Linked DNA regions of Drosophila melanogaster. The protein of the gene in region 3 interacts with the protein of the main gene of each other region in a pairwise test. Each region holds a gene or a part of one and is shown on either strand. Other genes may lie near its edges. The genes, in order: Pabp2, dmrt93B, Pdha and fd59A.

The links.
Region 1: the proteins of Pdha (region 3) and Pabp2 interact in a two-hybrid assay, tested with the Drosophila melanogaster proteins (one large-scale study listed by BioGRID).
Region 2: the proteins of Pdha (region 3) and dmrt93B interact in a two-hybrid assay, tested with the Drosophila melanogaster proteins (one large-scale study listed by BioGRID).
Region 4: the proteins of Pdha (region 3) and fd59A interact in a two-hybrid assay, tested with the Drosophila melanogaster proteins (one large-scale study listed by BioGRID).

The regions. Positions count from the first base shown.
Region 1 is NT_033778.4:8,129,430-8,134,922, reverse strand, and holds Pabp2 (Pabp2), read right to left. Parts: upstream 3,493-5,493; 5' UTR 3,200-3,492; intron 3,003-3,199; 5' UTR 2,890-3,002; coding exon 2,791-2,889; intron 2,534-2,790; coding exon 2,132-2,533; intron 1,982-2,131; coding exon 1,848-1,981; intron 1,783-1,847; coding exon 1,743-1,782; 3' UTR 1,715-1,742; exon of another isoform or gene 1,446-1,714; intron 1,309-1,445; 3' UTR 549-1,308; downstream 1-548. Other genes in the region: Obp44a (Odorant-binding protein 44a), read left to right, coding at 27-413; CG42516 (uncharacterized protein), read left to right, coding at 3,779-4,231; Pbp49 (PSEA-binding protein 49kD), read left to right, coding at 4,295-5,428. UniProt on the Drosophila melanogaster protein: Involved in the 3'-end formation of mRNA precursors (pre-mRNA) by the addition of a poly(A) tail of 200-250 nt to the upstream cleavage product.
Region 2 is NT_033777.3:21,072,129-21,077,327, reverse strand, and holds dmrt93B (doublesex-Mab related 93B), read right to left. Parts: upstream 3,322-5,199; coding exon 3,067-3,321; intron 1,518-3,066; coding exon 996-1,517; intron 731-995; coding exon 530-730; downstream 1-529. Other genes in the region: HHEX (hematopoietically expressed homeobox), read left to right, coding at 1-414; r-l (rudimentary-like), read left to right, coding at 4,110-4,262, 4,323-4,839.
Region 3 is NC_004354.4:4,700,527-4,705,766, reverse strand, and holds Pdha (pyruvate dehydrogenase E1 alpha subunit), read right to left. Parts: upstream 3,443-5,240; 5' UTR 3,236-3,442; coding exon 3,176-3,235; exon of another isoform or gene 3,076-3,175; coding exon 2,875-3,075; intron 2,213-2,874; coding exon 1,648-2,212; intron 1,573-1,647; coding exon 1,250-1,572; intron 1,180-1,249; coding exon 997-1,179; 3' UTR 502-996; downstream 1-501. Other genes in the region: CG7024 (uncharacterized protein), read right to left, coding at 81-203.
Region 4 is NT_033778.4:22,866,603-22,871,231, reverse strand, and holds fd59A (forkhead domain 59A), read right to left. Parts: upstream 3,074-4,629; 5' UTR 2,731-3,073; coding exon 2,378-2,730; intron 2,058-2,377; coding exon 1,040-2,057; 3' UTR 526-1,039; downstream 1-525. UniProt on the Drosophila melanogaster protein: Involved in development during embryogenesis.

The DNA.
Region 1 (5,493 bases), on a different chromosome or scaffold from region 3:
AAATTCATCCGTTTGCTCCTCGACAGGCCTCTGCCTCCGACTACAAGCTGCGCACCGCCGAGGATCTGCAGAGCGCGCGCAAGGAGTGTGCCGCCAGCAGCAAGGTGACCGAGGCCCTGATCGCCAAGTACAAGACCTTCGACTATCCCGACGATGACATCACCCGCAACTACATCCAGTGCATCTTCGTCAAATTCGACCTGTTCGATGAGGCCAAGGGCTTCAAGGTGGAGAACCTGGTGGCGCAACTGGGCCAGGGCAAGGAGGACAAGGCCGCGCTGAAGGCCGACATCGAGAAGTGCGCCGACAAGAACGAGCAGAAGTCGCCCGCCAACGAATGGGCCTTCCGTGGCTTCAAGTGTTTCCTTGGCAAGAACCTGCCCCTCGTGCAGGCCGCCGTCCAGAAGAACTAGGAGTTCAGCGCAGTTCCACATCAATTCTAGAAGCGAAAGATCAATCAACACGCAAGCAACGCGGCATTTTCGAGTTGAAATCCGCTCAGGCTCTGCAATCCTACGATTGAAATAAAACCATATAATAGTGCTTTTGAATGAAGAATGTTCTTTTTATTATTCACAATATTTCTGAGGGCTGGAAGAGAGGTAGGGCTGCTGGTGGTGGCAGGAATCAAGCTGTTACTCGCATCCTCAATCCCAAAAAACCTTGTCCCGCCCAAAGGAAAGGCATTGATAGCTTATTTAATTCGATTATATTTGTCTTCATCTTTTTCGCTTTAGTAAATTCAACTTCTTTTCTTATCTTCTCTTTACTCTATATATTTTTTTTTTAAATATATAAATTACACACGCACTTTTTATATATTTTGTTGATTTACTTCTTTCCCAAGAGTCTTGTGTTCTTTTGATTTTTTTTTTATATTTTCTTCCTTCTTTATTTGCTTTTGCCATCTTTTAACTTCTTTTATTTGGGGTTTGTGGTTTCTTTTGCGCTTCTTTTATATATACTTATTGTTGTATATACTTTTTTGTTTTTTAAATCAACTTCTTGTTTTTCATAATCTTTTTTTTTTTTTTGATGTTTTATTGAAAATTAAAATGTGTGAAAAGGGGGTGTTTGGTGTTGGGTGCTTCAAAAAACATTATAGCCAAGTCAAGATATTCGTTTTCCTTGTTGATTTTTTATTATTTTCGAGGTCTCTTCTTTTCGCCTGTTTTCTTGCTGCTGATGCATTTTTTATTGAAACGATATTTTTTCTGGCGTTTTCTGTTGCGATTGTTTTCTCTTTTTTATTTAGCAAAGAAGTTTGGCAATAAAATAATGTTTTTTGAAATTATATTGTAAAAAAATCTGAAATCAAATAGTTAATGGATTAAAGACGACAGTCGGTAAATCGAATGGAAGCATTATAATAAAACCCAACACGCTGCGAATGAGAGCAAGGTATTCCCATAAAGGGTTCGGAAAATTATTCTGTTTTTGACCATAAATTTGATTGTTTTTATTTCCCGTAATGATCTACCAGCTATGCAAACTAAATCTATTTAGCTCCATAAAAACAAACGGCATTTTCTAACAACTTAAATTTAACATAAAAAGACGTCCTCATTGGTTTTATAAATTTTAAGAAAAAAAATGTATCAAAATATAAGAGATAGATATCGGATTACTTTATGTAACCGACATAAATCGGACGCAACCCACACATATAAAATTTCAACTATCAATTATTTTCAGTTCGAAATTGTCAACTTACCTTACTAGGGATTTTAATAAAACAATAATCAGTAAGGAGCGTAGTAATTGGCGCGACCACGGTAACCCCTTCTGGAACGAAAGACAGACCGGGATTAGCTCGATCCAATCGGGATTTTCCAGAGCCCACTTACATAGCTCTTCGGGCGCCTCGGAAGGTGGAGTGACAGCACGCCCGGGAGACACGGGCTCCTCGACCCCGGAAGCTGCCGCGTGCGAAACGGTTTGTGGTGGAGAGTCCAGGGCGGTTTGTGCGCTTCGACATTACCTGAAAGTCAATAGATTAAGCTAAAGTCAACTCTAAATATGTGCTTTCAAAATTGCGCTACGTAGGAGTCCCTAGGACTCATTCTATCCACATATGTACATGAGAGTTTGATAGGTAGCAGGACTAGCAAAAAGTGCTTCAGATACTCACCTTTATTTGACGCCCTCGGAAGAGGGTTTCGTTCATGGCCAATGCCGTCTCGACAAACTCCTTGGAACCAAACTCAATGTATGCGAATCCCTTGGGGTGCCCGTCAGCCTTGTTGCAGAGTATGGTTACTCGGTTGATTGTGCCGCATCCGTGGAAGTGGGCCTCCAGTTCCTCGGCCGATGCGCCGTAGTCCACATTGCCCACGTAGACGGACCGCGTGTCGATTTCCTGCTTCTCCTCAAGAGAAAGCGGGACTGTGGCCAAGCCGGTGGTAGACCCACCGGCCATTTGTTTGTCCACCTCCGACTGCATCTGCTTTATCTTCTCGGCCTCCTCTTCCATCTCCTTGACTCGAGCCTTTATGGCCTCCAGTTCCGGGTCGATTTGCATGCTGCCCTCCTCCTGGCGACGAGGAAAATATGAAATTTAGTGGTATTTGATTTGGAGCGATGAGCAAACGCCCGAAACCACAGCAGACAATGGAATGGAGTGGCGGTGCGAAGTGACGCTCTGAAAATGGCAGCCATTGCTGCGGTTTTCGGCTTTGTATATCCCCCAAAGCTTTGCGAGCTTTTCCAGGGAATTCGGCGGGCTTTCGCAAGGCGTGAGGCCAAGAAACTGGTTCTTGGGCACTGTCTACAAGGGCAACCCCAACTCACCTCGACCTCTGTGGCGATCTCAGTCTCTTGCTCCCCGTTCGTCTCCTCCAATGACTCCAGGAGCTGATCCTCGTTCAATGTGATATCTTCATCGGCCATTGCTTTGGATTTGGGTTTGTTTACGTCTGCTACAAAAGCTCGGTTTTGTTGGCGCAAAAGCTTCCGGCGTGGTACTCAAAACGGCAGTTGTCGTAACTATGTATGTATGGTAGCTGTCAATGAGAAAAGGGCGGCGAAAGTGAGCATAAAGAGCGTAAAACATTAAGAGCGCGAATGAAGAGTTCATCATGCAAATGCAGTGAAAATCCAAGCCATAAGTAAATAAATTCAGGCTGCGGACACCGAAATGTCTAGGTTTCACTGCGTTCGCACTACTACACTGATATTTAATTAAACACACTGTACTTACGTTTAATAAATGTACAAATTACGAGCTCGTTCTGCTGACGTTGAGTTCGCCCAAAATGGCTGCCCTGTGAAAACACACGTACGCTGGGTTGCTGGGTTGCTGTTTTTCGTTCAAAAGTCTACGTTTTTAAACCCTTTTCGACTTTGTTTCGCGCCACACCACGTCAGCATAAATATTTATTTATAAGCTTATTTATTTATTATTTACTAATATTTACAACTATACGAAAACGTACGTAGTTTTTGACACAAATTGAAACAGATTTGTGTTCGCCTCGTTTTTACCGATGACAGTTTTCGCCTCGATAGTTTCGATGGTTTGGTGGTGGGTTTACCTATCGATAACTGCCGGTATTTAAGAAAGCAGTTCTTTGGATGATAAAAATAATAGTATTTTCACACCACAATGCCATTTTAAATTTACCATAGGAAGGAAAGAAGAGGAATGTGCACGCACATTTCTAACAAGGTTTTGTAAATGGGAATCAGACAAATTATTGTTTAAGGAAGTCATATATTGCGAAATAACGCCATCATTCAACCATCAATCAGGGCCCATGCATAACGATAAAAGGAGAACATGAACGATTCCTCCGATTCGGAGTACGAGGACACAGAGTACCTGGTATTTGCGGATTTCAAGAACCACATTCATCCGCACCAGCTGAAGCACGAGGACGCGGCCATTAAGATCATCGGAATCGAGAGTGACACGCCCATGGCCGAGGTAAATGGAAGCATTTATCGGGGACGCTACGAACATTCCGTGGGAACCAACGTGTTCTTTGAGAAGGAAAAAGACAATCTGGCAAGTGATCCGCTTTTTGAGTCAGTGTGTCGCCAGCGGTACCAGTACGTGGACAAATCCACCAAGGTGATATCTTTTGAAAGGGTCTACGTGGACAATTTGCACCAGGAGGTGGAGAAGTCGGCTGAGACTGAAGAGGACGATCAGACCGAGCCAAAGCCAGAATCTCTGAAGCTAAATATAACTTACAAGGAGGCTATTAACAAGTTTGGAGAAGATCATTGAGTGTGGAGAACTGAGTCTAATCCTGAACAAAAAACACTCTTTCAAGACATACCTCTTAGTACCATGGATACCACCTATATTACAACGAATCCAGCTTTAAGCCTGCGAGACTTTCTAGCCGACTATCAAAAGAAAATATCCGGTACTGCAGACGAAGTGCCCTTCTTTCTCCAAAAAAACCCAGTACTTGTCGACGTGTCTGAAAGCTGTTCCCTGGACTTGATCGAGTCCCCAGACGACAGCTCGATTGCAGTCTTCCAGCCCGCCGCAGACAAATGCCGCCCAACCTTTTCTCCGCCGCAGGAGAACCAGCATGTGCCCTCCACTTTTACTGCTCTAAGCCAGCACAAGGACAAGTCCCGTAAGTGTCCCTTTGGCCGCACCCAGTACAGCCACAAACTGAATCCGACGCCGACAGACTCGCCTAACCTGCACATCGATGCTTGCGGCGAACTGGAGCTAACCGTGCGTCTATATCGACCACCGCGGGCCTACCATCGCGGGTTTAAGGTGGAGATTCCCGTTTTCGCCGAGGAGTTCGTATGTCTGGGCAGCAATTATCTGACCGAGCTGCGGGACAAGATCAGCTGCGTTTGCAATGGAAAACGGTTTGTCGACATCAGCGACGATCCAGATGCACCGTTGCCATCCATTGACACAAATCCCGGTTACTTCTTCATCAACGACACATTCTACAACGACCAGCGCAATCCGGACAATCCCGACTATTCCAAGACCGTCTTGCAGTGGGCTGCCAGAGCGAACGGAGTGAACGGAGAAACGCTTAAGGTGGAGAGTATGGAGGGCAAAAGATTCATCGATCTCACTGTCAGCCCCGGATCACCGCTACACTACCTGCACCACGGCAATTGCGAACACCTGTTTGTGATCTCCCAGGTAGAGGTGCTAACGCCACTTAGTAAACGGCCAGATCGCAGCCTGTATCCCTATCCTCACGCCTTCAGTACGTTTAATCGCAGGACTTGCTATATGTGCGGCATTCGCAGCTATAGCTTCATCGTGAACCAGTCCCGGCGACAGCTGCACGATCCCTCCTACCTGTGCCGCAGATGTTTTCTCAGCTTCTTTTACGTGGATGGTGTCAAGCTGGGCCAGTTCAAAGCCTATCGCATGTATGACCATGTAGAGCTGGAGGGCGAAGAGGAGGACATTAAACAGCAAAATCTCCCCTCCTGAATATACATATACATTTGTGTGATTTTTTCTTTATTTGCGAGCTCCTTTGACTGCAAGATCGCTCA
Region 2 (5,199 bases), on a different chromosome or scaffold from region 3:
ATGTCGAACTTCGGCGTGAAGCGAAAAGGCGGCCAGATCAGATTCACCTCCCAGCAGACCAAAAATCTCGAGGCTCGCTTCGCCAGCTCCAAGTACCTGTCGCCGGAGGAACGGCGTCATCTGGCCCTCCAACTCAAGCTGACCGACCGCCAGGTGAAGACCTGGTTTCAGAACCGGCGCGCCAAGTGGCGACGAGCCAATCTCAGCAAGCGCAGTGCATCCGCCCAAGGACCCATAGCAGGCGCTGCCGTGGGATCACCCTCCAGCGCCTCGAGCAGCAGTGTTCCCGTGTTGAATCTTGGCAGCGGAAGCAGGTGTGGCCAACAAAGCGACGAGGAGGATCGGATGTATCTGTCCGAGGACGATGAGGACGACGACGAAGACGAAGGCGAGGCGGATGAGACGCCCAAGTGAAGCTAGAGGATGGCCCATTGACTCATAAGTTAGTTTAGCTTGTAGTTAGGATAAATAAATTTATTTTATTAGAACTATAGTTATGCGAGTTAGTAAGTACTAGATGGGTGGTCTCCTAGTGGAACTGGTAGCTGTCCAAGCAGGCGCAATTGGGCAAGGTGCATCTTGGCGCCAGATTGGAGAGGTGACCCATGGTCACCGGAAAGGATAGCGGCACAAACCACTTGGGGTACGCACAAATGGCCGCTGCCGCCGCCGCTGATGCACTGCCTCCAAAGACCGGCGGCTTTAGCTCCACCACCGATTTGCTCTGGTACTGAAAGGTAAGATTTTGTATGTACTTAAATAAATATTTCATTAGGTACTTCCTACTTCCATGGACCACGCAAATCGTGACTTGATTGAATTCTGGAAGCGGAAATACAGACCGTTGAACTTAAGTAAAAACACAAAACACCTGTTACAGATTTGCTGTATACTATAGAATATAATACTATAGAAATAACCGGTATATTCACTTAAGTACACTTATAACTAAAAGGTACTTTATACAATTTGCACTATGCAGTTAGGTCGCTTACCTGATCTGTTATCACGGGCCTAAAGGCGCTGCTCCTGGGCGGCGCGGGCTGTGGCATAGTGGTCAACATGCCCGGCTCCTGGCTGGGCAACTGGTTGCTGGTGACATCCACTGGCGAGGACTTGCCAGTGGGCGAGACATTCTCAATGGCCCGAATCAGATCGAGATCGCAGCGCTTGAGGACCAACTCCAGGACAGATCGCTTACGCTGCGGAAAGAGCTGGGCAAGCATGTCAATGGCCGTTTGGGAGACGTTATCTCTTCGGGGAGCACTGAGATCCTGCGCCACCGCCGGCGATTCGCTGTACTCCTCCTCCCTCTGCTTCAAATGCTGCTGCTCCACCTCCGAAATGGTCTTCTCCACCTGATCATCCTCCCGCTTGGCACGCGGCGAACTAGGCTGCGTGACGGTCAGACCGAAGATGTTGCCTGGCGGCAGTGCATCGATGGAACGACCCGTCTTGTTGGCCACCAGCCGCATGGCAATCGCATCCTCCACCGCCTGCTGGCGCTTCAGGGCAACCTGAAAGCCCACAAATGGAAATTAATATGCGACAAGTGAACATCTTGGTCCGTTTGCTGCTGTTTGACTTAACCGCAAACAAAGGCCACAGCAATTCCTTGGGGTATCACCCACATCCTAGCACATCCTAGTACATCCTAGCACATCCTAGCTCATCCACAGCGATCTAATGAAATGCGAGACGTAGACACACTTGTGCAAACAGTTTCGGTAAGCGGATATTTTGGTCGATTTGTTCCTACGCCTTGACAACTTTCCATCATCACCATCATCGTCATCGTCTAAAGGGGAGGACTGGTTGTCCTTGTTCTGCTTGGAGTTGTTCCCCGTATTCCGTTTCATTGGCTGTTTGACTTGGCACTGGAGTGGGGTGTGTCCATCGGCTATTTGTGTTTCGAATTGAGAACTTGGCCAGCGCTTAATCTAAACACAATATAAATGGCATTGCTAACTATTTTTCCAAGAAAGCTGGCAATTGAATTCAGTTACACAGATTGATTGAATCCGGATGGGGTGGCTTACATATTATGTGCCAGATACAAATAGCTGGGAAAACTATCCACCTTCTATGTTGAATTGTTGAATTATTCTTGAATTGAGTTGATTCTGAACTTGTGTGTTGGAATTACAGCGACGGCAGGCTGGAATATAATCTGCATTCCAATATAATATATGGACATAATAATCTATATTCTATTGCATTTGCTACTATAATAAACCGTGTTATTGAAAGTCTCCTAAGATGTTTGGATCAGCTATATATTCCGCGCACACCATTTTTGAACGACTTAAGTTAAACGTGCTATATGTTGGAAAGGTATTTCCTATTAACAGTTCTTTTACATCATTTGTAAAAAACAATTTTCGCAGAAATCCAAAATAATTAATGTTTCCAAAATGTTATTCAAAGTCACAAAACACGATATAAGAAAATGTCGGAGTTTTCGGTGCTATTGTTAATTTAAGCTCCCCTTGCTAATAGGTGTTTTTGTTTGTCGTCCCAGGTTAGTAAATTATAAATATAACAGTGACATTAATCAAGTTAAATTATAATCGAAAGGCTTAAATTGGGTTTCAAAGTTATACCTAGTAAAAATCGATCACGGAATCCATTGCGAACAATACAACATGAAACACAATTACGTTTATGCTTATACATTTATACATTAATATCCTGAAGTTATTTTAGAAAACTTTTGGCTTTTGAGAATATTTGATATGTCATTTTAAGTAAATGCTAATAAAGGGAATATGTTTTTACAAGAAGAAATTTTCTAAAGGACTGGGAATAAAGTCTCCGAATGTTAGAGCAATATATCTGGTCTGGATGGTTTGGATGTCTATGGATGGATCTAACCAGGCAATTTTCTGTATTCGAATGCACCGAATTTTTAAAAAGCTATTTTTGGGATAGCGATTTTACCATCCAGGATAGATGACATTAAAGTTAGCAAGTGGGCAGTAATCATAAAATGAGGATAGTAATGTCAATGATTGCCAATTAAGCAGAAAGGATTGCTTGTCATCGTGCATATAAATCCTAACTTACCTGAGCGGCCATGATCCGCTGCCTCTCAAAGATCAGGACACACTTGGCGCACTTGCAGTTCTTGTAGGTGCAGAGCTTCTTGTGACCCCGCAGCTCTGAAATGATCCCATGGTTCCGGCAGCGGGCGCACTTGGGCACCCGATTGGTGACCTTGGCCGGTGTGGGTTCAACTATTTTGGTGGCCTTGGGATTAGCCACAAGACGAGGACGCTTATTAGCCACTTCATCAGCAGGTTCACCACTTGAACTGGCCATCGCAACGCAGGCGAGAAATGGATTGAGAGAAAACCGATTTTTCGACTAAGAAGTTGCCGCTTTTGGAGCACAAATTTGCGACTTATTTGGAGACCAGCGAAAAGAAACTAAATTTTGGAAACACGCGCCAAAGGATCTGGAATTGTTTCAATGAATGGCGCAAACTTTGTTGACTTACGCAGGCGCTTTGGCTTTCATTTTGCAATATGAGCTTACAGGACTGTCATTGGTGGTTGCAAAATGACTAGACTCCTCCCCTTGAAGTTGCAGTCAAGGGTTTGTGGGCGGAGCCAAAGCTTTCAGATTACAAATGCTAAGTAGTGAACAATACAGCAATGCAGCGGACAAAATATTGTATATAATCCATCCATTCATTTCCTTGAAATTTCTTAAGACTTCTCAGAAACTAAAGGTTATATATTTTATGAATTTGGGAAATATTTCACATGCAAAATAGTTTATTTCAAAACCTTAACACTTATGCTACTTTGTTACCCTATAACTAATAATAAACGTTTATTAATTCGAAGCCAATGTTGATAAAATCTACGACATTTATAATAATTTGAACTTCGATAAGTTTGGCGGCATAGCGAAGTTAACCACCCAGGCGGCGCAACCAGAACTTGTACCTTAATTAGGGTGTTCGAAATGTGCCCCAATGTCACAGCAGATACGTGCACACTGGCAGCATGTTTAAAAAGCGTAGACTCCCAATTGGACGGTTCTTATTGGAGCCTAGCTAGCACGTGTGTGAAGAATTAAGATCGAGATTTAGAATTGCCAGCATGGTTGCCCAGAACTCCGACAAAATGCGGGCCCTGGCCCTGAAGCTCTTCGAGATCAATGCCTTCAAGTTCGGCGACTTCAAGATGAAAGTGGGCATAAATTCGCCGGTCTACTTCGACCTCCGAGTGATCGTCAGTTATCCGGATGTGATGGTCAGTATTTGGGATTAGTGCTCCATGTCAATGGCAGTAGCTAACTTGGTCTTCCCGCAGCAAACCGTATCCGACCTGCTGGTGGAACACATCAAGGACAAGCAGCTGAGCGCCAAACACGTGTGCGGTGTTCCCTACACGGCGCTCCCGCTGGCCACCATTGTGTCCGTGCAGCAGGGAACTCCCATGCTGGTGCGGCGCAAGGAGGCCAAGGCGTACGGCACCAAGAAGCTGGTCGAGGGCATCTTCAATGCTGGCGACACCTGTCTGATTGTCGAGGACGTGGTCACCTCCGGCTCCAGCATCCTGGACACGGTGCGGGATCTGCAAGGCGAGGGCATTGTGGTCACCGACGCCGTGGTCGTCGTAGACCGTGAGCAGGGCGGAGTGGCCAACATCGCCAAGCACGGCGTGCGGATGCACTCGCTCTTCACGCTCTCCTTTCTGCTGAACACACTTCACGAGGCCGGGCGCATCGAGAAGTCCACAGTGGAGGCGGTGGCCAAGTACATCGCCGCCGTGCAAATCAACAGCGATGGTACCTTCGTCGGCGGCGATAAGGGCGACGTTGTCAGAGGTGCGTATGCTCCAGATCCCCGTGATATCTGCCAGATAGATAGATGCATAGATAGATAATAAGTACATGACACTCGGCCAGCACATGGCCTCGAACAAATTCAATTAGGGAGCGCTCCAGTCGCGCTACTATAAAGTTATACAACCGCCATAAACGGCGGTAGGCCGATCTGGATTCCACTATCGGACCGGATCATTCCCGGGAATGCGGCACGTGATTCTGATTCAGGGCAGTGTCCGGTCCGCACTCAATTATGCCACCACGCTTATCAGCCCACTCGAGAGCCAGCCTGCTCCTTCAATCAAGCCCATCTTCTATAAATAATCACATTTCGTTTATGGCGCTTTGATGAGATGTATG
Region 3 (5,240 bases):
AAATATAACTTTTACGATATAGCTTTTTTCAATGGTATTTACTTATCCATTGACCTTCTTGTGATAATCAAAACACTTACGTTCTCCAGGGTCAAACAGCTACATTTGTGGCGCCCTATTATCCTGCAGAGCATATTTCTCTCGAGGATGGAGTGGGCTCCACTGCATCTCATCGCCACGCGGACACAACTGAACTTCATCATTGGCCCTTGCCCGAATACCAATTCCCAAACACCGGGGCACTAAAATGAGCTTGTAGCCAAATGGGCAATTGCCACGCACTAAAATTTTGAATATGATCGGAAATTGTTGAAAAATGGATTTGTACTCAACCGAAAAGAAATCGACAGTAAAATCATAAGCAAATCGACAGAGATGGCAACTGTCACTAAACAGAACGAGAAGGAAATATAACGATTTTGGGATTGCTTATGGAGCTGACAACTGCTCCTTTTCAAATACTACTTTGATTCGAACTGTAATTCTTCCACAAATCGAATTATCTATTAAATCTATTCCGTTTATTAATATCTTATAAATCTATCAAAATTCTATAGTGCAAGTATAGGTGAAACAGACTGAGATTTTCACATTTCAAAAGTACATACTTGATTCACTTTTGTTAAGAAAACTAATTTGGATTAATTTTTCTAGATTTTTATATTTTCAACAATTTACACCTCGCTTTATCCTTATTGAACACGTTCGCAATATAATATCCAATGCAGTACCCCAGAGTTATGTGGTGCGCTACGATGTGTGGTTGGAGTGCTCCGATTAGCTAAGCTTTTTGTGGGTCTCTTCGGATCCGTTCCGTTCTACGGGGTTCTCATCGTTCAACTTTCGGCTTATGATCTAGAGATTTCGCTTGTGTCCAAGTTTCTGAGTTATTGTGTCTTCTTGTCTGTCTGTCAGTGATTTGTGTTTGCTGTTCGGTTTTCTTGTTTCGTTTAAGGTTCTTGTGAGTTCCCGAATCAGATTCGTTGGCCCGATGACTTAGTGATTGACGCCCTTGCGCTCCTGGATGTGATCAATATCGTAGGCGATGGTGCCGCGCAGCTTGGGCTCCAGATTGTTGGAGTACACGTCCGTCCAGAGGTGGCTCACGCCCAGCTCGGCATCGGACTTGGCGAAGGCGGTGGCCTCGTCGACCTCCTTGCGTACCTTCAGATCGATGGCCTGGAAGATGTTTTTTTCTTTTAGCAATCATAACTCATAACAAAAATAAAACCCTATAAGCCAAACCCACCTTAACTTCATCGGTGGTAATCAGACCCAGCTCGATGCACAGCTCCTTGAAGGAGGTGATGGGATCACGCTTCTGGCGCACCTCCTGGATCTCCTCGCGTGTGCGGTACGATGTGCCCGGATCGGACATGGAGTGTCCAGAGTATCGGTACGTGTTCGTCTCCATCACCAAAGGTCCGTGAGTGTTCACATAGTTGATGGCGAACTCGGTGGCGCTGCGCACGGCCAGCACATCCATGCCGTCCACCCAGATTCCGGGCAGAGCGTCGCCGCGGGTATAGTAATCAGTGTTGCAGGAAGCACGCTCAGAACTGGTGCCCATTCCTAATGGGTATAATTATACAACATTTGGTTTAAGTAAATATCTTTTAGCATTGTTCCACTTTCTACAGCACTCACCGTAGTTGTTGTTCTCGCAGACAAAGATCACAGGCAGTTTCCACAGGTAGGCCATGTTGTAAGCCTCGAACACCTGTCCTTGATTGGCGGCACCATCACCGTAGAGGGCCAGGCACATGCCGCCATTGCCCTTGTACTTGCAGGCCAAGCCAACGCCGGCACCCAAAGGAACTTGAGCACCCACGATGCCATTGCCTCCGTAGAAGTTCGGTGCGTACATGTGCATGGAGCCACCCTTGCCGCGGGCACAGCCACCCTGGACACCGGTGAGCTCAGCCAGTACGCCGCTGGGTGAGACGCCCATCAGGTAGGTCCATCCGTGGACACGGTACGCCGAGATGATGTTGTCCACATCCCGCATCGCCGCCTTCATGCCAACGGCGCATGCCTCCTGGCCGGAATACAGATGACAGAAGCCGCGAATGATCTTCTCCTTGTACAGATTACCGGCGGCCGTCTCCAACCGACGGATCGTCTGCATCTGTGTGTAGTACTTGAGGGCCTGATCCTTGGTCAGCTTCACTTCCGTGGCGGGTCCTTCGTCCAGGCGGTGCAGCTTGAAGGGCTGCAAAGTTGGAAAGCATATTTAGAATTTAGATCCCTAAACTTCATTAATTTTAAAAACGTTTTCTACTTTTACATTAACAACTGACACACACATCTGATAAGAACGTAACGGAAACGTTTGGAACGCATGATAAGTAATAAAATGATAGCAGTTTGATTGGATAAACCAAATAACCATAGGCTTCAAGCTTCTCTAATCAAAGTATACTAATCTATAGAGAGCTATAACCACATATCGAGGATTTTCGGAAGTATGCTCCAAAAACCAAATTTGGATTTATGGCGGCTAATTTATGGCGTGAGAATCGACGTAAACAGAGAGCCAGACAGACAGACGGAGAGAAAGAGAGAGAGGGTGAAAATCGGCGGATCGTTGATAAGACTATATGTTATATGGTGCGTGAACAGTCACGCGTCGGCCACGCAAAAGGCAGACGGTGATAAAGAGCGTGGGAGACGGAAAACTACAAATTACTGCGTGACCTTGTCATTTGAAAATGAGCGGATTGACCGGCAAAATGCAACCCTGCACTTACACACACACACACACACACGCAAACCGTTTGCTATCTGGCGAAAATCGCATTATGTAACCGTATTTTTTCCCTTCCGACTTTTGAATTTTCCTGAGTTACAAGTACTTAATGCTATAATACGCACCCGATTCACTTGAACGGTGGCCTCCGTGGCATAATTGTTGGTTTTCGAAACACCTGCTTGGGCTGCATTCTGGAATAAACCGAAAAACGACGATGAATATCTCCCATTCCTGATGATATCGATGCTGCTGTTGTTGTTGTTGTTGCTAAGTATCCGACATCCGCTGATGATGATGTTGTTGTTGTTGTTGTTATGGCAACGCTTTTAGTGTTTTCATTATCGAATGGATTTGTTCAATTGCATTTTTAGTGACAACAATTAGAAATGTTAGTGGGTGCAAAGCGGGATTGGGATTACGTACTTTTTGCAGTTGCTTAACAATAATGGGCAATTCGCTAACGCGTGACAGAGTACGCAACATTTTCGCTGTGTTATTCTCGTTCGACTGACAGAAATTGGATGTGAATGGGGGCTTTCTATATGCGGATTGTCCGGATCTAGAATCGCACGCTATATATCTGGTGTCTCAGTCGCACCGCCGCGCGTCGTTGTAAGTTAAACAATCGGAAAAAAAGGTAGCGAGATTAGTTTATCAACTACTATATTGCACAACTATAACAACCGTTTGGCGTTATAGCGAAAAATAACGCACCACTTGGCCTATTAGTGTGACCCTAAATAAAATACTGCAGCTTTCCCTGTTTTCAAAAAATACTAAATTAGCTTATCGAACTTTCTTTTTCAATATAACTTGAAATATAAATGTTTACGTAAAATATTCAATAAGCTTTTATATAATGTGTCACACAATGTTATATCAAAATAATAGTAGTGTTTGGCGGTTATTGAAATACTCGAATAAATACTTACTCAATCACATTTTATATTACTTTGCCGCCCAAATAAAACGAGGGTTTTCAAAGAAGTACTTTTATTTCACATTGAAGATCTCATTTGGTTTTTGTTTGCTTTCTCATTTCTTACTCGTATTGTTACTTGAAATTGCCTCCATAAATCCACATTTGCGATTGCAGTTGCAATTGCAATACTGCTCTATATCGCACTCAGCTCACATAATTCACTAATCTCTTACAAAAACTTAAGTAATGTTTGTTCCTTGCACAAAAAACCAGTTAAATAGAAATAGGTAAAGTAGAATTAAACAGTTAAATTCAAATAAACGCTTTACAAACTAAGATTTTAAACTAGTTTTTGTATTTGTTGGTTTCTCGGTTTGTTGTTTCATTTTTTTTTTTTTGCTTTAGAAATGGCAGCTAAAAGATTTGAGTTTAAAAGTTACTAACGGAAAATGAGGAAATGGATCGATCGTTTGGGAAAAACTAAGCGAATGAAATAAATTTTTTACTTTCTTTTATCTATCTTTTGCTCTGTTACCGTTACACATATTCAATTTTTCGCGCGTTTTTCTGTTACATCAAAAATTGGTTTCTCACACAAATATTTTGCATTATGACAAAAAATTATGCTTTGCTTTGTTTTTTGTTTTGTTTCATATGTATACATGTACATGTATATATATATATATTTGTATGTATAAACACTTATTAGAAGTCCTGTTGTGTTTTTGTTTCCTTTCCCGTTAGAAATCCGGCATTCCGATTATAAGAAAAAAATTTAGTTTTTCTCTTCGTCTTCTTGTTTTTGCGAGTGCTTGTGTGTGTGTAAGTGGGGGAGGTGTGTGTGTGTGTGGGTGAGAGAGAGAGAGGAGGTTCTATCTTACCGTTAGCATAAATAGTTTTGTGTCTACGCAAAAACGTGCTGAGCAATAATCTAAAACGCAATAGCTAAAGAGAGAGAGGTGCTGTATGTGTGTGAAAAGTAACGGTAAATGTGTGTGATTTCTGCATATGTCTTCTGTTGTTTTCAGGAAATTACGTATTAAGCTTCTTATTTTTTTTGGTTGTTTTTAGTAGGTTTTACTTAGGTTCTTGCTTAATTTACACCAATGTTTACTTTATTTTGTATTTCTTGCATGAATATATATATTTACTTTTTGGTTTCCTTGTTTCTTATTACTGTTCGCTTTCATTCCTTGAAATTTGCCTTTAAATTGTTACTGTTCTTCTGTTTTATATAACATAAATCCGATTCGGAGAAACACATAGCACACACTTATATAAACGACAAGATGATAATTATTTATTTTGTCTTTGCTTTTGCTTTCGACTTTCTCCGCCTTTTTGTTTTATTACTGCTTGCACACCACCCTCATGACCTCCCTAACCTGGTTTTGACCTAGAAAGTCTTAGTTTTAAAATTCATTAGAATAATCAAATAAATAATAATTACTATGTTATATCAACTATTATAATTCTCCCTATCTTTTTTAGGATTAAAAATCTGTTAGTCTTAAGTAACCAAGACACATTGTAAAATAAAATAATTTAAGCAGATCAAATTAAGTT
Region 4 (4,629 bases), on a different chromosome or scaffold from region 3:
CGGATACCAATAGTTGGTGTTGGTATCTTCGGCGGCACACTGTTGTCCCGCTGCCAGGCGCAGCTTTTCATGTTTTAACACTGGAAGCCAACGGGACGCTCGTGGGAGAGCGGAGCTTTCGTTTGGTAGCGCCGAACTCCACGGCGTTCTATGGCGGCACAACTACGTCCTGCGCCAAATCAGCTGAGCGATGGTCACTGCGCAGGCGCTAAAGCTGAACTGATTTCCAGGCAGGGGTGCCACACCTGGACAGGTTTGCTGGGCGGTAAATTCAAATAACTCGGGGTGTTTTATTGCAAACAAAAGGTAACAAAACGTCGAAAAGAGGGATCCCTTTAAGGATATTATTACAAGGAAGAGAGTGGCCACATATAATAATATAATTATAAAAATAATACAATATTACAGGTATCAATAGGATTAAAAATTAATATTTAGTATACTACAAACATATTAGTAACATGCTGTAGTAGCTGTAGTAACAACACGTATATCGGTACCTACCAGTCAAACATGTATCCGTGTAAACTATTATTATGTTGTTGTTTATTCAATTTTCAATAACATCAGCAAAAATCTTAGTCTAATTTATAGTTAATAGTGTTCCTCTTGCTTGGATGTGTTACAGTTACACGCAGACGCACACGCACACACATACACATGATTAGTACTTGCATGGTAGATATAGGTCTAGAACCTGAAATCCCGACTCCAGACCCCAAGAATTCGTGTTAAAAGTATACTATAGACGTGCGATGCTTCAGATTTACATAGATATTACGCGCAGATATATGTTTAGTACGTAAGTGGACTGGCAACTATAGCGTTGACTTCGATTTGGTCGCATTTAAAAACTCGTGTGCTGGCTCCTACATCCTACGGATACACCTACTGATCACTACTTGCTGCTCGGATTGGATTCCTGGGGATTGCTGGTGGTGGTGTTAGTGGGCTGTTAAAACGTGCTTAGATCGAAACTGAAATCACCGTTCAATGGACTGTACACAAGCCAATTGGTTCAAGCGAGTGGGAATCCCGCCTAGTCGCTGGTCTCCTCCTGGCTGCCACCGCGATGCAGGTGGTGGCCAATCAGCGTCTCGATGCGAAAGTCCTTGGCGCTGCTCTGTTTGCTGGTCCGCAGAACCAGGGGCTCGCTATCGAAGCGTCTCCTTGGACTTGAATCGGACGCCTCGGCAGAAGCCTCAAAGATCAACGCTTCCGGCGGCGCATCCAGGCGATTTGTACAGGCGCTGTCCACCGAGTCCGAGATATGTGAGTCCTCCTGCTCATTGCCGCTCTCCACGTCGATCTTGTCCTCGCATGAGTCGTCATCTCCCTCGGCTTCCGCATCGGCCTCTGTGTCCGCATCGTCATTGTACACATTGAGATCCATGTAACCACCGCCGGCGGACAGTCGTTCTGCGTAATCCCTGTGGCCGGGAATGCCCGCAGCACTGGCCACAGTCGCCACATCGAAGGCGTATGGGCTTTTGTACTTGGAGCCACGGCTGCTCTCGGATCCCCCGCCCACTCCTCCGCCGGAGCCACTGCTGTGCGGTAGTGCATCCAGGACATCCGCTCCTCGACCGCGATTCATGAAGGGCAGCCGGTCGAACTTGTCCCCCGACTGACTTCCCTGGTAGAAGGATGCTTCGGCATTCGCAAAGAAGTTAAACTTCTTGTCCGCTCGCAGCGCTGAGTCAAAGACATCCGCCGGATTGTGGACCACGTCGAACTCCCTGCTCCCATTGAAGTTGGGCACGTTGAAATGCACTGGCACGAGGGGCACGGGCTTGCGTATCCAAAATGGAGACAGCGTGCCAAAGACCGCCGGAAACGAGAAGCGTTGCATGGTGGGCGCCCGTTTGTAGCGCTTCCGCCGGCGCAGGAAACTGCCGTTGTCGAACATGTCCTCCGCCAGCGGGTCCAGCGTCCAGAAGTTGCCCTTTCCGGGATTTCCCGGCTCGCGGGGCACCTTTATGAAGCAGTCGTTCAGGCTGAGATTGTGCCGGATGGAGTTCTGCCAGGCGGGGAATTTGTCCTTGTAGTATGGAAAGCTACAAGTAAAATGCACAAGTTATTTAACATTTTTTCGAGGAATTTTTTTTAAAGAATTTGGTTGTTTATCTAGATCACTTACATTGCAATCAGTAAATAAAATATCACATTTTAAAATTTATAATTTTTGAAATCGATTAAAGCACTGAATGTCTCTTCTTTTCTATGTTTTCAATTGAAATTTTATAGGATTTATTTATTTTTATCGTCTTTACAAACTACTACTTTTATTCTCTTTTTCTGATGTTTTAAGATAACTTGGAAAAAATCAAACTATTGCTTCTTCATTTAAGGATATTAACTTTGCTGGCAAACTCACCGCGACATGATGAAATCGCAGATCCCGCTGAGCGTGAGCTTCTTGTGCGGTGACTGAAGAATGGCCATGGTGATTAGAGCTATGTAGGAGTATGGTGGCTTTACCAGGGGACCACCCGAAGATCCCGAGCCGTCTCCGTTGCCGCCGGCGGCACCACTTCCGCCCATGGACGACGGCTCGATGTCGCTGTCGTCGCAGCCCATGGACATGGCATCTGCGGCGGCAGTGCGCGAGGACGCACTGCATCCGATTCCGTTGCCGATGGAGGAGCCGCCTCTGGAGCTTTTGATGAGCGGCGGCGAGAGGGAGACGCTGTCGTGCAATGTGTGCATGGGATCCGTGCTGGTGTGCATGTCTTAGCGGGTATACACTGTAGTCTATTTGAGTCCGCGAATTGGACTCACTAAATTTAGAGGACGCAACACTGTTATTTAACTATTTTGCTCAGGAACTGTGTTCGTTTTGGCGTTTCACTTGCTTCACTTGGCATTTGCATATGCTTTTCGATTCAACTTGGAATTTGATATTTTCTTTTCTATTTCCGCTTCCGTTAACCGTTCGCTGTTACCGTCGTTTCCGGTTTAGCTGCTAGGATAAACTGTACATATGGCCAGCAGTGGTGTGGAAAGTGGAAAGTTGGCTAGCGCCTAGTCCGTCGTCGCGTCCGTTGAAGGCGGAATCCGCTGGCCAAATGTTAACTGAATCGCAACGAAAACGAAAATCTTCTCGCCCAAAATGTTTTTCTACATAACTCAAACATTTATTTATGAAAAACCGCTGCCATTGCCGCTGCCGCTGACGTTTCCCTGAGCTTTTGTGTCGCCGTTGCTGTGTTTTCGTATCTCGAATAACTGTGATTCTACTGCCGACGTCGCCGTTGGCGCGGGCAGAGCATCCTGACGGCATCCTGGCAGCATCCTGGCTGCGCCCCGACAGCATCGCAGCAGAGGGAGAGAGAGCAAGAGAGCCCGGCCAAGCCTCTCTTTCTAGCGGGGGATGGGTTGATATCCTGCGAACCAATCTATGCGAACTAGCTCGTGCCATCCCTCTCCCACTCGCTGCAAGTCCTCACAAAATGGTGGAGAGCCCTGGCTGTAAATGCGATATTTGTGTTTTCCTCTCTCCAAGCGGCGGCAAATTGGCAGCGACTGCAGAAGCCAACGAACGCGGCGGTGGGGGGGATAAACATTTTGCGCAAATTTAGATACCTTTTGCCGCTTTGACGTCGTGGCTCTTAATAATGTTTCATTATGTCAGCCACATGGAGGCAGGCGTCCTTTTCCCCTGCGGCCCTCCCTCGTCCTCGCACTCGCCCTGCCAACCACCACTCTGCTCCTCTGCCCCAAATGTTATGCTTCAAATGTTGGCATTTTTATGTGCGAATGTTTTTCTAACCGTATGTCGACGTTTCTTGGTTTCTCTCGGGCTCGCAATCTCATTCCCAGCCCTCTGTCCCTATGCACAGAAAGAAAAAAAAGAAAAGAATCTAATTATGTGTTTAATTATGTAAAGTCCAAATTCCACAAATCTTACTTAAGTTAAGTAACGAAGTTATAGGGACTTTTCTTTGCAGTTAGATAAGTAGAATTGTATTTATTTTCATAGGATATATTTTGTTGGTTATTCTAAGAACGATTAACTGAAATATGTATATAATACAATGTATTATTATTAAATACATTTAAAAAAAAAAAAAATGCATAGAACAGTTATGTCATTTTAGCAATGCGAAAAAACCGAAATAAAATATAATTTTAAAACAATACATACAATATACAATACATCTAATATAGATAATATTGGTTTTTTTTCTGTATATTTTATTTGGGTGTGGAAGTGAGATGGAATCAAATGCACCATTTTCACCAACATCCTCCGAGCACAATGGGGGCTACTAGAGTGAGAGAGAGAGAGCAGTAGAGTGGGTGGGACGGGAGGGGGTTGGACGTACATGTGTTTGCTGCATTTGTACTTGTATCCAAGTGAGTTTTGTACTATTTCTCTTTTTCATTTTCGCTGTTTTTGTTCTCCAGTTGTTAGACATTGTTGTTGTAGCCATTGTTGTTGTTCGCCATTCAGTGTTTGGAGCCTTCCCTTTTCAAATTAAACATTCAGTAGTCACTTTTATTTGTTGTACTTTGTTCAAATTAGTTTTCCAGTTTTGCGGAAGTTACCCACACACAACCAAACACTCACTCACACACACAGATGCATGGAAACAGACACGAATACAATAAGGGCCGCCATCTTCG